Oryzias latipes: one gene and its partner. The protein of the gene in region 1 interacts with the protein of each later gene in a pairwise test. Links are inferred from orthologs where the notes say so. Each region holds a gene or a part of one and is shown on either strand. Other genes may lie near its edges.

Region 1 (6,005 bases):
TAATGAAACCACTCAGGAACTTGACATACAAAGAAATCTTTATTTTGTCATAGTTTCCAAAGACTTAACTCTTTTTCCTGGAAACAAAAACCCAAAACAAGTACATCATTTAAAAAAAAGTTTAAAAAAAAGAAAAGAAAAGAAAAACAGAACAGATTTAGTCAATTGTAATAATTCTTTTTTTGAGTTGTTTAGAGTGAGGCAGCAGAAGGCACGTGCATCTTTCAGTTCATGGAAGAGTGCCGTCTAGTGTTTCTGAAACCGTGCAGCGAGCACACAGTGCCCCGTTTGGCGGCATCAAACCAAGGCCACGGCTGTCCGCTGTGTGCACGACCACAAATGCAGCCACTCAAAGGTTTGAGGTGAAATCTGGACCGACGCACTCGTCTGTGTCTGTAGTGTAAACATCAGGAAAATGCTGAGAGAGACCACATTTAAAACTCTGCATGAAGAAATATGAAGCTTGTTCCTGCAAAGATGGAACTGCATGATGGGAAACGGTTTTCAGAGGGTGCATTTATATTCTTATAACTGTGTTAACAGATCAGAGGCACTTCTTTTTTTTTTTGGCTCCGATAGTTTTGAGGCACATAGGTTGACTTGGTCTCCTCCAATCCTGTGTTAGAGCTCAGGTCTCCGCCCCCCCCCCCCCCTCCAACAGTCATAGCACATTGGGGAGGTAAAGCGAGCACAGCAGCGTGTTCTGCCCGAGAGCAGGAAAGCGCCTGAAGGCCTCCCAGGCGTCTGAGAAAATGTTGTACTTGAGGAAGACGCGGTGCTCCAAACTGGTGAGCGGGCTCACATCCCGGCTCATCATGTAGATGCCGTCGTTGTGCAGCGCGCAGGTCAGGTTCAGACCCGACTTGGACGTGTTCTCCTTGAGCTGGAGCCACTCCCCGGTGGTCACGTTGTAGGAATGCACCGTCAGGACGTCCTCGGTCTGGCTCGGGCGGCGCCGGCACCAACCCGTCTGCAGCTCGTGGGTGTAACCGCCCACAAGGTAGATGGTGTCCTCCACCGACAGCATCTGCTGCTTGCGAATGTGGACCGAACAGGACCGGAACACGGCCCAGGAGTCGGAGGTGGGGCAGTAACGGAGAACGCTGGTGTTTCTGTCTGTCAGATCCAAACGGAGAGCATAACTAAAAAAAAACATCCACAGGTTTCATTTCTGACACTTTCGTCTGAAGCTTCGACATTTCAAACGGTTTATTAAAAAATTTGAGACACTTTTTATTCTCTGACTTTTAATCATCCTCATTTTTAAACCTAAAGATGCTCTTTTAAACTAAAATTGGCAGGAGTTTTAATTTAAAAAGAACTTCATCCCTTATTTGTAAAACTCATCAAATCTAATAGTTGTGCCTCTGTGATGACTGTTGTAGCCACAAAAGTATTTAACTTTCCTGTTTGGTACGCCAGGGGGTGGGGGGGTCACTTAATCCAATTCTCATTTACATTCCATTAACAGGAAGCAAACCACATTTTGGGGATAATTCTGATTTCTTTTTTAAATTATTTTCAAATGTGTTTTTGTGTTTAAAAAAAAACAGCAACTGATAGTTTTTTTGTTCTTAAGAAATTAAATCCTTCAGAAACTACTGATAAGATTTGTGTTCAGCATTATAAAATAATCTTTATAATACTAAAAAGTCTGCTTTGGATGCAGATTAGGATACTTTTTTCTGGACGTCTTCATCCTGTCTCACTCCTGTTATCCAATTTTTTTTGTTTGACACAACTGTTTAGCCATCACCATCTTCCCTTCCGGTTTCATAATCCTGACCTCTATTTCAGCAACACAACAAACGGTTTTCTGTTTTTTTTTCTTTTCGAACCCACCCCTTGCCGTGTATCCTCCGATGACGTAGATGAAACCCTGGCACTCGCAGGCAGAAAACTCAGTCAGAGGGTCTGGCATGGAGGACACACACGTCCACCAGTCCTGCTCTGGACAGTAACACTCCACCGTGCCCAGACACTGGCCTCCAACAGCAAAGAGTTTCCCTTGAACGGCCAGCAGCTTGAAGTTGGACCTGGAGGAGAGGACAGAGGGTGAAACGCCTCGGATTTGACCTTTGTGAATCCATGGGGGGGAAAAGTCGTACCTTTTCTGGTTGAGCGGAGCCACGTGGTTCCATTCATTCCTGCAGGGGTTGTAGCAGTGAACAGCAGAGATCTCCTGACTGGTCATCCTGTATCCTCCACCGATGAACAGGTAGTTATCCAGGACGGTGGAGCCGTACCCTCTCACGTTGACCATATCTGGCGGGAGTTGGTTGGACAGGGGCTTCCAGCGTTGCTCCACCTCTCCGTACCGCAGCATGGACCAGGGCTGGTCCTGGTCGGGCACGTCCAGGGACAGGCAGGTGAAGTCTCCGATGGCCACCAGGGTGGCGCTGCCCTTCATGCGCATCTCCCTGACCTGGTCCCTGACCGCAGAGGGCAGGCGGCTGAACTCCGGCCGCCTCAGAATGGGGTGGTAATAGCAGCTCATGTACTTGAGGCAGGAGCTGCGCAGATCATGGGTCCCGTAGATCCCAGAGAGGTTGTACAGCTCCACGCAGTTGTCCAGCCGGATCTCTGAGGTCAGGAGCTTCAGGATTGAGGTGACCTGTAGGAAGGAGGCAGTCTCGATCAGATCCTCCAGAGTCTCGTTCACCACCTGGACTTTGGAGGTGTTGATGAACTCCAGGACCAGCTCCAGGCCGGGGATGCTGAGCCCCTGCAGCTCCACAGAGTCCTCCGTGGACTCCTTCATCCCGGAACTGTACAGAGCTCGGAAGTAGTCGCTTTTCTCGATCAGCTTCTTCTTGTCCACCTCGTAGATCTTGTCATCCACGACGATGGCGATGACCTGCTCGGATGACATGATGATGAGCTTTTTTTGTTTTGTTTTTTTTAATCTTTTAAATGTTGTCGTTCTTTGAGTCTGCTCCCCGATCGGTTTACATTTCACCGCGGACAGAGCTCTTCGGCCGGTCTATATATGGTCACGTTCAGCCCAGAGATCTCCATGAAGCAGCTGGATTCAGCGAAGCTAACCGGCTAGCACAAAAGTTCACCCAAACAGCTATTTCCACCGGTTAACACGCCTCCACGCAGCGGCAAAAAAATGTCCCCACTTCCCGAAAAATGTACGCTGCATATTTAAAATAACTTTTATTTATTCGGTCATTTTTCTAACCGGTGTGCGAATCAAAACAGACTGTTTTGACAGTTTCTTCGTTGTGGGTACATCAAGCTGATTTCCGCACGCTGCTGTCACCTAGCGGAAAATATACGAACTGCACCCCCACACACACAAACACACTCCATTGAAAATGGTGTTTAAACTTATTGACAAATTTCAAACTGTAATAATAATAATAATAATAATAAACGCGAACAAACTCTGAGCAGCAGAAAACATAAAACGATGATTTATACTATAATATGTACTACAAGTGTGCTACGTACTTCACATGTTTACCTAGTGTAAAGTATACTTATATTCATTAATGCTTGATAAAAGATGAAGTGTACTACTTTTTGCTAAGGGATAGGAAGCAAGAGACATTTCATTTTTGGTTTTATGTTATATAAGTAATGGTGCTTAGAAATTCCAAATGCATTTCTGGCAATAAGAAATATTTCTAAAGCTAATTCAATAAAAAGACTATTTAACTGATAAAGATCTTACTTTATTAGTTTCAAAACACTAACTAGAGGATTTTTCAAAATAAGATATTTATTGTTTTTAACATGTAAAATACCTGTAAAAACAGGGGGAAAGTTGCTAATTTTGTCATTAGAGTTCAGGTTTATACTTTCAAGTTGTCTCATTTCTACATTATCCACCAGATGACAACATTTTGACAACTTTCTTTAGGAAAAACCCAGAAGTGGATTTTCTTCCACAATAATATTCTGTCAGATGGAATTTACCCCTACAAACTGAGCAAATTTAATATATGTAGTGCCAATGTAGGATCCAAACCTTGAAAACTGTAAGGTGTAGTTAATTTTATACCACACAACATCTATGCTTTTTTAACGTAGTTCTAGTTTTAGTGAAGACTGAGCTTTGAACTGAAGGGATGCAGAATATTTAAAGTCAGGTTCCCAAAATTCTGAGTATGTCAACATATGGTATAAAAAAGTAACATTGATCAACTACAACATTTTATTACTGTTTTTTGCACTGATCCGTCTAAAATATATATTCAAAGTTTGTTTTTTCAATGTGATTTGGTAAAAATTAAAACAACGTTTTCAAGAGCTGATTTAATCTTACACTATACATTTAAAATGTCATGAAAATCAAACTTGGTGAATGGTTATATTTCCTTTGAGGAGAAATATATTAATTTTTGACTGTTTTAAAGTCTTCAGAAAACATTAATCAAATGGTTTACTTTTTTTAGGCAATTTGTTTTATTTTGAAGGTCGTAGCCGGATGTGCTTCTCCTCAGTCAGCGCTGCATGGAGGGAGGAGGGGGAGTTGGGCAGGTGAGGGCGGGAGGCGCGTGCGCATCCATGACGGGGACAGCAGCGTCTTCGCCTCTCGGACTGCTTTGTGTTTGTGGCTCCCGGTGGCGGACACAACGCCCGATTGTGACCGCAGGTGAGGATGCAGGAGCCGGCGTGGACCTCCTGCTTCTCCCGCTGCCTCCTTCTCCTCCTCATCGCCGCTCCCGCATCCTTCTTCACGCCGACCGGAGGAGAACTGCGGCCATGCCAGAAGGTAACTGTGTTTTTATTCGCCTAACGCTAATGTCGACAGTTTTATTTTTATTATTATTAGCCAAAAATCCCCAAACTATGTTCTAACGCATTTATGACCTCAACGCTAATTTAAATTGGTTAAAATATATAAAAATGATGTACAAAATAAAATCTCGGGATAAATTAATTTAAACTAAACGTAAATAAACTCAAAGTTAAACAATCAAACGGTTTCCGGTTCCGAAGCCGGTCTGCATTCTGGTGCTGATAGCCTTAAATTTGGATTCATGTTGACCGTAAATGCGCCGCCGTCTCGTCTGCTGGCCTCCAACCGGCTGGGAGGGATTACCTGACGGGATGGATGCACATCAGTCCGGGGGGATCCTGTCAGTCCCAGCCGGGGTGTCAAAGCGGATCCAGGCGTCACCAGGAGGAGGGAACGTGTAAATAACAAAGAAATAAACAAATAAAAAATTAGACTATTAGGGGGTTGAAGGGGATGTTTTTAAAGATGTAGAACCATTTAGATTGACGTGATTTTGGAGTTAAAATATGAAAAATATCTAATCAATCAGAAAACAATGACGTCACAAATTTAGAATAGAGAACCACCTTCCAGCCCCACAAACTGGTTAAAATGTGCCTTTAAACCGAGTTATTTAGCATTATAATGTACAAGATTTTAAAAAAAAAAATCACACTATCTGTCTTGTTAAAACCTGGAACAAGAAGTTGTCGAATCTCTATAAACCGACTCTGGTGAAAATGGTGTTTTTAACATGTTCTCTTGTCATTTTTCCTTTTTAGTTTCTAATGTTGTTCCCTTGTATAACATTTCATGTTTCTGGAAATTACTTTTGTTTTCTGATTTTTTTGTTTAGATTTCCAGTGTTGTCATGTGATGTTTAATGTGTTGATTTATTGGTGTGATTTAAAGAAACGTCTGCGCAGAATTTGATCATCTTTTGCTCATATTTAAACCTTTTTTATTACATTTAAAGATGCTCTGTTGTAACATTTTTGTGTTTTAGCCATTTTTAAAGTCTTAAATTAGAACTACAATCTTTTTTGAACATTTACTTAGTTAAAGAAGCTGCTTTTACAAAGCAAATTTGGGGATATTTTAAATGTTTATTTTAGTTGTTTTAACCAACTGTTGTTTTTCCTGCTTCATGTTAATCTTTCACTTTTTAAAGCAAAAGTCATCTTTTATAAATCATTTTTTAACTTCACACCTTTTTCACACTTTCCTTGTATATTTAGTTTTAAATGATTGAACCTTTATGCAGCGACTCATT
Region 2 (5,939 bases), on another chromosome or scaffold:
ATTTACCTGCAATGATTGGAGAAATACTGCAGGGGTCACTAGAGAGGGAGTAACAGTTTAGGTAATGTGTCTGTACACTCCTTGAGATGTCCTCATCACTAGTATATACACAGTTATCATTTCCTATGAGGCACCTAGTAAACTATTTTACTTCTTATCTTAGATTATGAAAGAAATCAGGAAAAAGGGGATCACAATGCTGAATTTCAGTCTTGTAACTAAAAAGCAGAAAAGCCAAACTCCTACATTTGGTTGCTGTTCAGACACAGGTACTATACAGGTACTATACTGTCATGGTGCCCCGGGGTATCTACTCCTTCTCCCCCCCCATGCAGAATTTACTCTGTGTGTCCCACCATTGGACTCAGCTGCTCCCCTCTTCAGCATTCCTGCTCTGAGCTCTATTTAAGATGTTCCTGTTCCTGTGTTCATCGCCAGTTCATCTGCCCTCTACGGAGGTACCACCTTCGTGAAATCGATGACGTTTAAAAAATAAAAAAGGAGTGAGCATGGTGTCCGTATTGGTTTTACTATTCAGGATACTATATAGTTTTTTAGTTGTTAGGGTGGGAATTGGGACAGCTATTGTCTGTGCATCGCCACAAAACGAGGACTACTCCATTCACCGTCTTGGACTGCATCCAGCACTCACTTCCTCCTCCACTGGGACTCACGCTCTTCCATCATCCCATCATCGTGGCTTCCTCCTCCAGCCACAGAACACCTCTCCAGAATACCAGTTTCTCTTGATCTCTTCCGTGATCTTTCCGGGTCTGGGTCTGTAACCGTTCTCCGCTAACATGACACTCTCAAGATCCACAATCGTGCCATTCTATTAGGGCTACTCTGAGGTCAGGTGACAAAGGTTGGGTCTGCTCCATTGACTGTATATAGCTGGACAATCGCATGGGACATCACCCATAGAAAATGCCTTGCTTCCGGTTCCAACCGAACAAAGTCAATTCAGTCGCCATTTTGACTCCTTTCCCATTTTGGAACCACACATCCTCAGTGAGGATGGAGGATTGGCCTGTCTATTTCAATGGCAACCACTCTCTCCAATCAGGAGTGATTAAGTTAGAAGGCCACACCCCTACCACTGAAAGCGGGCTCCGAACAATCTGTCAATCCAATGCTTCAAATGTTTGATGCCAGGCTTTTATTGAGGCATCTGAATGGTCAGTTGATAACTTGTGCTCCAGCAAAAATATCATGAAAAAAAAAACAGAATTAGCAATAACATGTTAATAATAGGCAGTAGAACAAGAACGGTTATTCTGACTAACATAATGGCAGAGTAATAGCTGTTCATTCATTAATAGAAGTCTACAGGATTTTGGCTTTTGGAACCAGCGGGTTCCACAGAGTATCTTAGTACTATTTGGAACGGGAAGGGGAGAGGTAGTTCAGTCCAGTCCTTATTTTACGGACAATGGTCTGCTCCAGTTGCCATCCTATTTACATTTCCCAGAAGTCTCTGCAAAATACCAGTGGACATCATCTATGCTCAGAAGATTTGCCCAATATAGACCACAAGGAATTACGCTTGAACGATTTTTTTCATGTTCAAAATGTATTTTAATTTTTTAAACCATGCACCCAAGTTTTCATCCTCAGAACACAGGATTCATAAATAGTCTTCCTAAATAATTCATTAGGTTTCTACTTTGGGAAATCTGTGACGTCATAATTGTCGTTTAAAAAAAGTTGCACACATTGTGTTCAAATTGCTCTTAAAATCCATGTCGCTAGATAGTTCTGCACAATGTATAGATTTTTAGTAGTCAGGGAGTCTGGAGGGAATTGGGATTTCGCTAAAAAGATCAGCAGACGCCAAACCTGCTTTACATATAGATAAATGAAAGCAAAAGTTTTTTAGCTGTAAATTGTTTATTAGCGTCGTACTCTCTGAATTTTTTATGTTTCTGAATGTTAAACTGTTTTTTTTTCCTTTCTGATAATTGCTGACCTTAGTCCGTGAGCAGCGGCGCGTTCCTTTCCTGAAGTTTTCACCTGCTCTCGGGAGCGTTCAACTTGGATTAGCGGGAAAAGATAAGAGCGCGCGCGCGCCTGCAGGAGGATTTGCTAGCTGCCCCGGCGCCGCGCGCGCTCTCAGCCAGAGAGCCGCTCGGAGCCGCCGAGCTCATCTGTGTGTTTTTGTGAGGCGGGGTCAGTCACACCCCCGCGGCGGCGATGCCGTTCCTCCCCCAGGACGCGGAACGCTTCGATGGACTGTCGCTGTTGTACTGGTGAGTGCCCCCCGCCCCCTTTAAGACAGTCGCGGGTCACCAGAACGTGTTTGCGTGTTAGTAATACGGACATGATTGTTTGTTGCTGCTTGCACGCGCGCGTCTTCAGTTCGTGTTGTCATTGTGGGGTTGTGCTCCTTTTCCAGCGTGGTTCAATGGTCGCCTTCAAATATTTTTGGGAACACGCTTGGAAAAATAAGGAACAAAGTTGACGGTTCTTCTTTTCCTTTCTCCTTCAGATGACAGCAGTGTTTATTTTTGAAGTCACACATTTAAGGAGTATTTTTCCTTTCACGTGGCCAAGTCACGGCTCGTGCAGGTGTTTCAGTCTGATCCTAACAGAAACAAGTCAAAGTGACTTAAGGTTCAGTGTTCTTCTTTCAATAAAACAATAAAAACATCTTCCTGATCTCTTTATATAATTTCACTCACTTAGCTTTTTGGTGCACGGCGTGCATGGATGCATGAAGGCACGCACGCGCAGCATAATCTGACTGTGAGCTCATGATGACATGTCAGTTCAGGTAATGAGTTAATAATAGAGCCGCTTTGTTTGCTGCAGGTCGTGTGCTGATCCTCACTCCTCCTCTTCCACCACAGTGCAGCATCACCAAAGTTAAAGGAAAACTATTCTTCCTGCATCTGAAGAATGTGCACAATGTCTTTTACGCATCACCATACTGGCTCTAAACATTTTAAACTGCAATTTGGCTTAAAAATCTGCTTTATCCACGTGTCCAGGTTGTTATTGTTTAGTGCAGAGAAAGCATTTTGAAGGCCCTCAAATGCAAAAGGAGAATCTACTCCATCCCATGTAGGAGGCACCAGCATGGATGAAGATCATCTGCTGGACCATTTTAATATGTAGTTGTTGAGTTAGATCAGTTAGTTCTTATCTATGAGTTCTGGTAAATCGCCTGTCCGTCCTGGGGGAGGATCCCTCCTTCATGTGGACCCCCCTGAGGTTTCTTCATTTTTTCCGAAATCCGTTTTTTTTAGGAGTTTTTCCCTATAGAAGGAGGGTCTAAGGGCAGGGATGCCAGTTTAGTTTAGTCTGTTTAGTTAAAGTTTATTATCCTATTGAATTCTATGCATTTATGATCCTTTTTGATAGTATGTTTACCTTACAGTTACTGGTATGAAGCCCATTGAGACGACTGTTGTTGTGAATTTGGGCTATAGAAATAAAATTGAATTGAATTGAATTGAATTGCAGGGATGTGTCCGTGGTGTATTGGCTCTTTGGACCAGGTAAATGGCGTTTGCTTATGCAGGACTCTACTACCTTCCTTAAAAGCCCAAAGCACCCTACAGTCACAGTCCCATTCACCCATGCACACACACATAGGGATGTGACGATAACCGTATCACCGCACGTTTTTTTTTTGTTTGTTTTTGTTAAGTTTTGCATATGGCGCGTCAATGGAGCCATAATAAACACATTAAACACATTCATCTTTCCTGATAATTGACTTTTTCTGCTAGTCCTGTGTTCAGACTTTCCTTCTTTCTTTCAGACTGTTTTCTCCTTCTCTCCCACCGCTCTCTCTCATAGGCGCGCGCTCTCAGTGCCTCCGCGCTGCACGTGCCACGCTGCTCCCTTTACACACAGGAGCGCGCTTTCAGAAGCACACAAACTCATTCTACAACAGAAGTTTTCGTCTCGCGAGGAAATATGACAAATTTACCGCGTTCTAATTGTTAATTTACATTGTATTCATTTCCGTTTCAAGCTGCATGCGTTCTTAAGGGCGCGCGAAACGGCCGCCCGCCGGAGGATTTTGTGTGTAGGGAGGGGGGGGGGGGGTTATTAGGGTTCACCTTCACTCCAAACATGAACGCGCGCTGTTAGATTTCCATGAATATCACTACATGTTTTGTTTGGGAACTATTTTTTGCAGCGTAACGTTACGTGTCTGTATAAACAAAGGCGGAGCCTCCTGGCCCGTGTTCTTCATGGCTACCGGAAAAGTGAAAAAAGTGTCTGCAGTCTGTTTATTACTGGGCAATATTTAATATTCTGAGAAAATGTGTGTGCCAAAGAGCACGGGTGAAGGCTCGCGTGCAGCTAGAGAGCGGTCCGCTGCAGAGGGATCAACACGCACCACCAACAAACATGTGCGCACCTTCCTCCTACGTACATGCAGCGCTGACCCACACAGTCACAGTCAACCCACAACACCTATATGGGCTTTATATATAGTTAGTTCATTAGTTTGGTAGTAGTTAGTTGTTACTGTTATTTTATAATAAAGAATACTACGTTGTAATTGTATTTTTTTTTTTTTTTTTTGTTTTTTTTTTTTGGGGGGGGGGGGGGGGGGGGCTGCGGTTAACCGCGACACCGCGCCCCCTGGTGGTTCATCACCGCGGTGATGAAAAATCCGACACCGTCACAGCTCTACACACACATTCACACAATAATAATAATAATGGATTAGATTAATTGCACTTTTTCTTGGTGCTCTAAGTGCTTACATTGTGTCCATTATTCATTCACTCCTCATTCGTTCTTGGTGATGTAGCTACTGATGTACCACAGCTGTCCTGGGGCAGACTGACAGAGGCGTGGCTGCCAGTTTGCGCCTACGGCCCCTGTGACCATCACCGGGACATTCATACACATTCACACACCAGTGGAGCCACAGTGGAGCCACAGTGGAGTGTCTTGCCCAAAGACACAATAAACAGTTGGCTGGGGGGAGCGGGGATCGAACCACCGACCCTTCGATCAATGGACGCCCCTGCCGCCCCTGATGGTGGCTCTTCTGCCTAACACTGGCACTATACTACCAGGAGCAATGTGGGCCTCAGTGTCTTGCTCAAGGACACTTCAATAGGCGGGCAGGGCAGAAATCGAGCTGGTGATCTTCGGTGATCAGAAGTTCAGAGGCTGACCACTCTACCTCTGCACCACAGCCACCCATGGACTCATCTCCACTTGGGAAAGGTAATCCCAGTGATTCATGACTTGGAGATGATATTACATCTTACCTGAGAGGGTCTTGGACCCAGCAGGCTGTTTTCATGTCCCCTCCAGCATGTGATGGGTTGGTCAGTACTGGAGCCTGGCTGGCCTTGGTTTGAAACTCTTTCTCCCAGTCGGGTGTCTCTGGAGAAGAAGGGGTTGTCCTTGTCTTTGTCCCGTGTCACACCTCTCTGGGGGCTGGCTGGTGATCTGCATGCGGGGCGGCCATTGTGTAGAGGTAGATTGGTCGACCTCTGATCGGAAGATCGCTGGTTTGGTTCCTGCCTTGCCCGCCCATGTGTCAAAGTGTCCTTGGGCAAGACAATGAAGCCCACCATGCTCCTGGTGAGTATAGGTTGGTGTCAGTGTTGGGCATCAGAGCCACTATCCGTAGCTGAATGGGACTGTGACTGGAAGCCCTTTGGGCCTTCTGAGAAGTTAGGAAAGCGCTATACAAGTAAACGCCATTTACCATTTATGTTGGAGTTCCAACAGACTGCTTCTAGAAACGATGGTTGTTGTTCAGGACTCACGAGCAATTTTGAGCCTTTTGTTTGGTCTGTAAGGGAACTTTAGCATGTGTAGCCTTCGACATGGCCATGGCCTTCTGGGTCTGTAGCCTTTGTCCGGGCTGGGACTTGTGCTTTCCATGCCTCTACGCTCTTGCGCGATAGTCTGTGTTGTCCTAAGTGGCTGTATTGGGTTGTCAAGGGGATTAAGGT

What was found. The genes of interacting proteins can lie anywhere in the genome.
Region 2: the proteins of klhl42 (region 1) and stxbp4 interact in a two-hybrid assay, tested with the Homo sapiens proteins (2 studies listed by BioGRID and IntAct). The two-hybrid records come from large-scale screens. The link is inferred for Oryzias latipes from reciprocal best matches to the Homo sapiens genes KLHL42 and STXBP4.

The regions. Positions count from the first base shown.
Region 1 is NC_019881.2:20,311,172-20,317,176, forward strand, and holds klhl42 (kelch-like protein 42), read right to left. Parts: upstream 3,351-6,005; 5' UTR 2,873-3,350; coding exon 1,843-2,872; intron 1,117-1,842; coding exon 662-1,116; 3' UTR 21-661; downstream 1-20. Other genes in the region: UPF0577 protein KIAA1324-like, read left to right, coding at 4,613-4,726. UniProt on the Homo sapiens protein: Substrate-specific adapter of a BCR (BTB-CUL3-RBX1) E3 ubiquitin-protein ligase complex required for mitotic progression and cytokinesis. The BCR(KLHL42) E3 ubiquitin ligase complex mediates the ubiquitination and subsequent degradation of KATNA1.
Region 2 is NC_019877.2:24,479,802-24,485,740, forward strand, and holds the start of stxbp4 (syntaxin-binding protein 4), read left to right. Parts: upstream 1-2,090; 5' UTR 2,091-2,193; coding exon 2,194-2,249; intron 2,250-5,939. UniProt on the Homo sapiens protein: Plays a role in the translocation of transport vesicles from the cytoplasm to the plasma membrane. Inhibits the translocation of SLC2A4 from intracellular vesicles to the plasma membrane by STX4A binding and preventing the interaction between STX4A and VAMP2.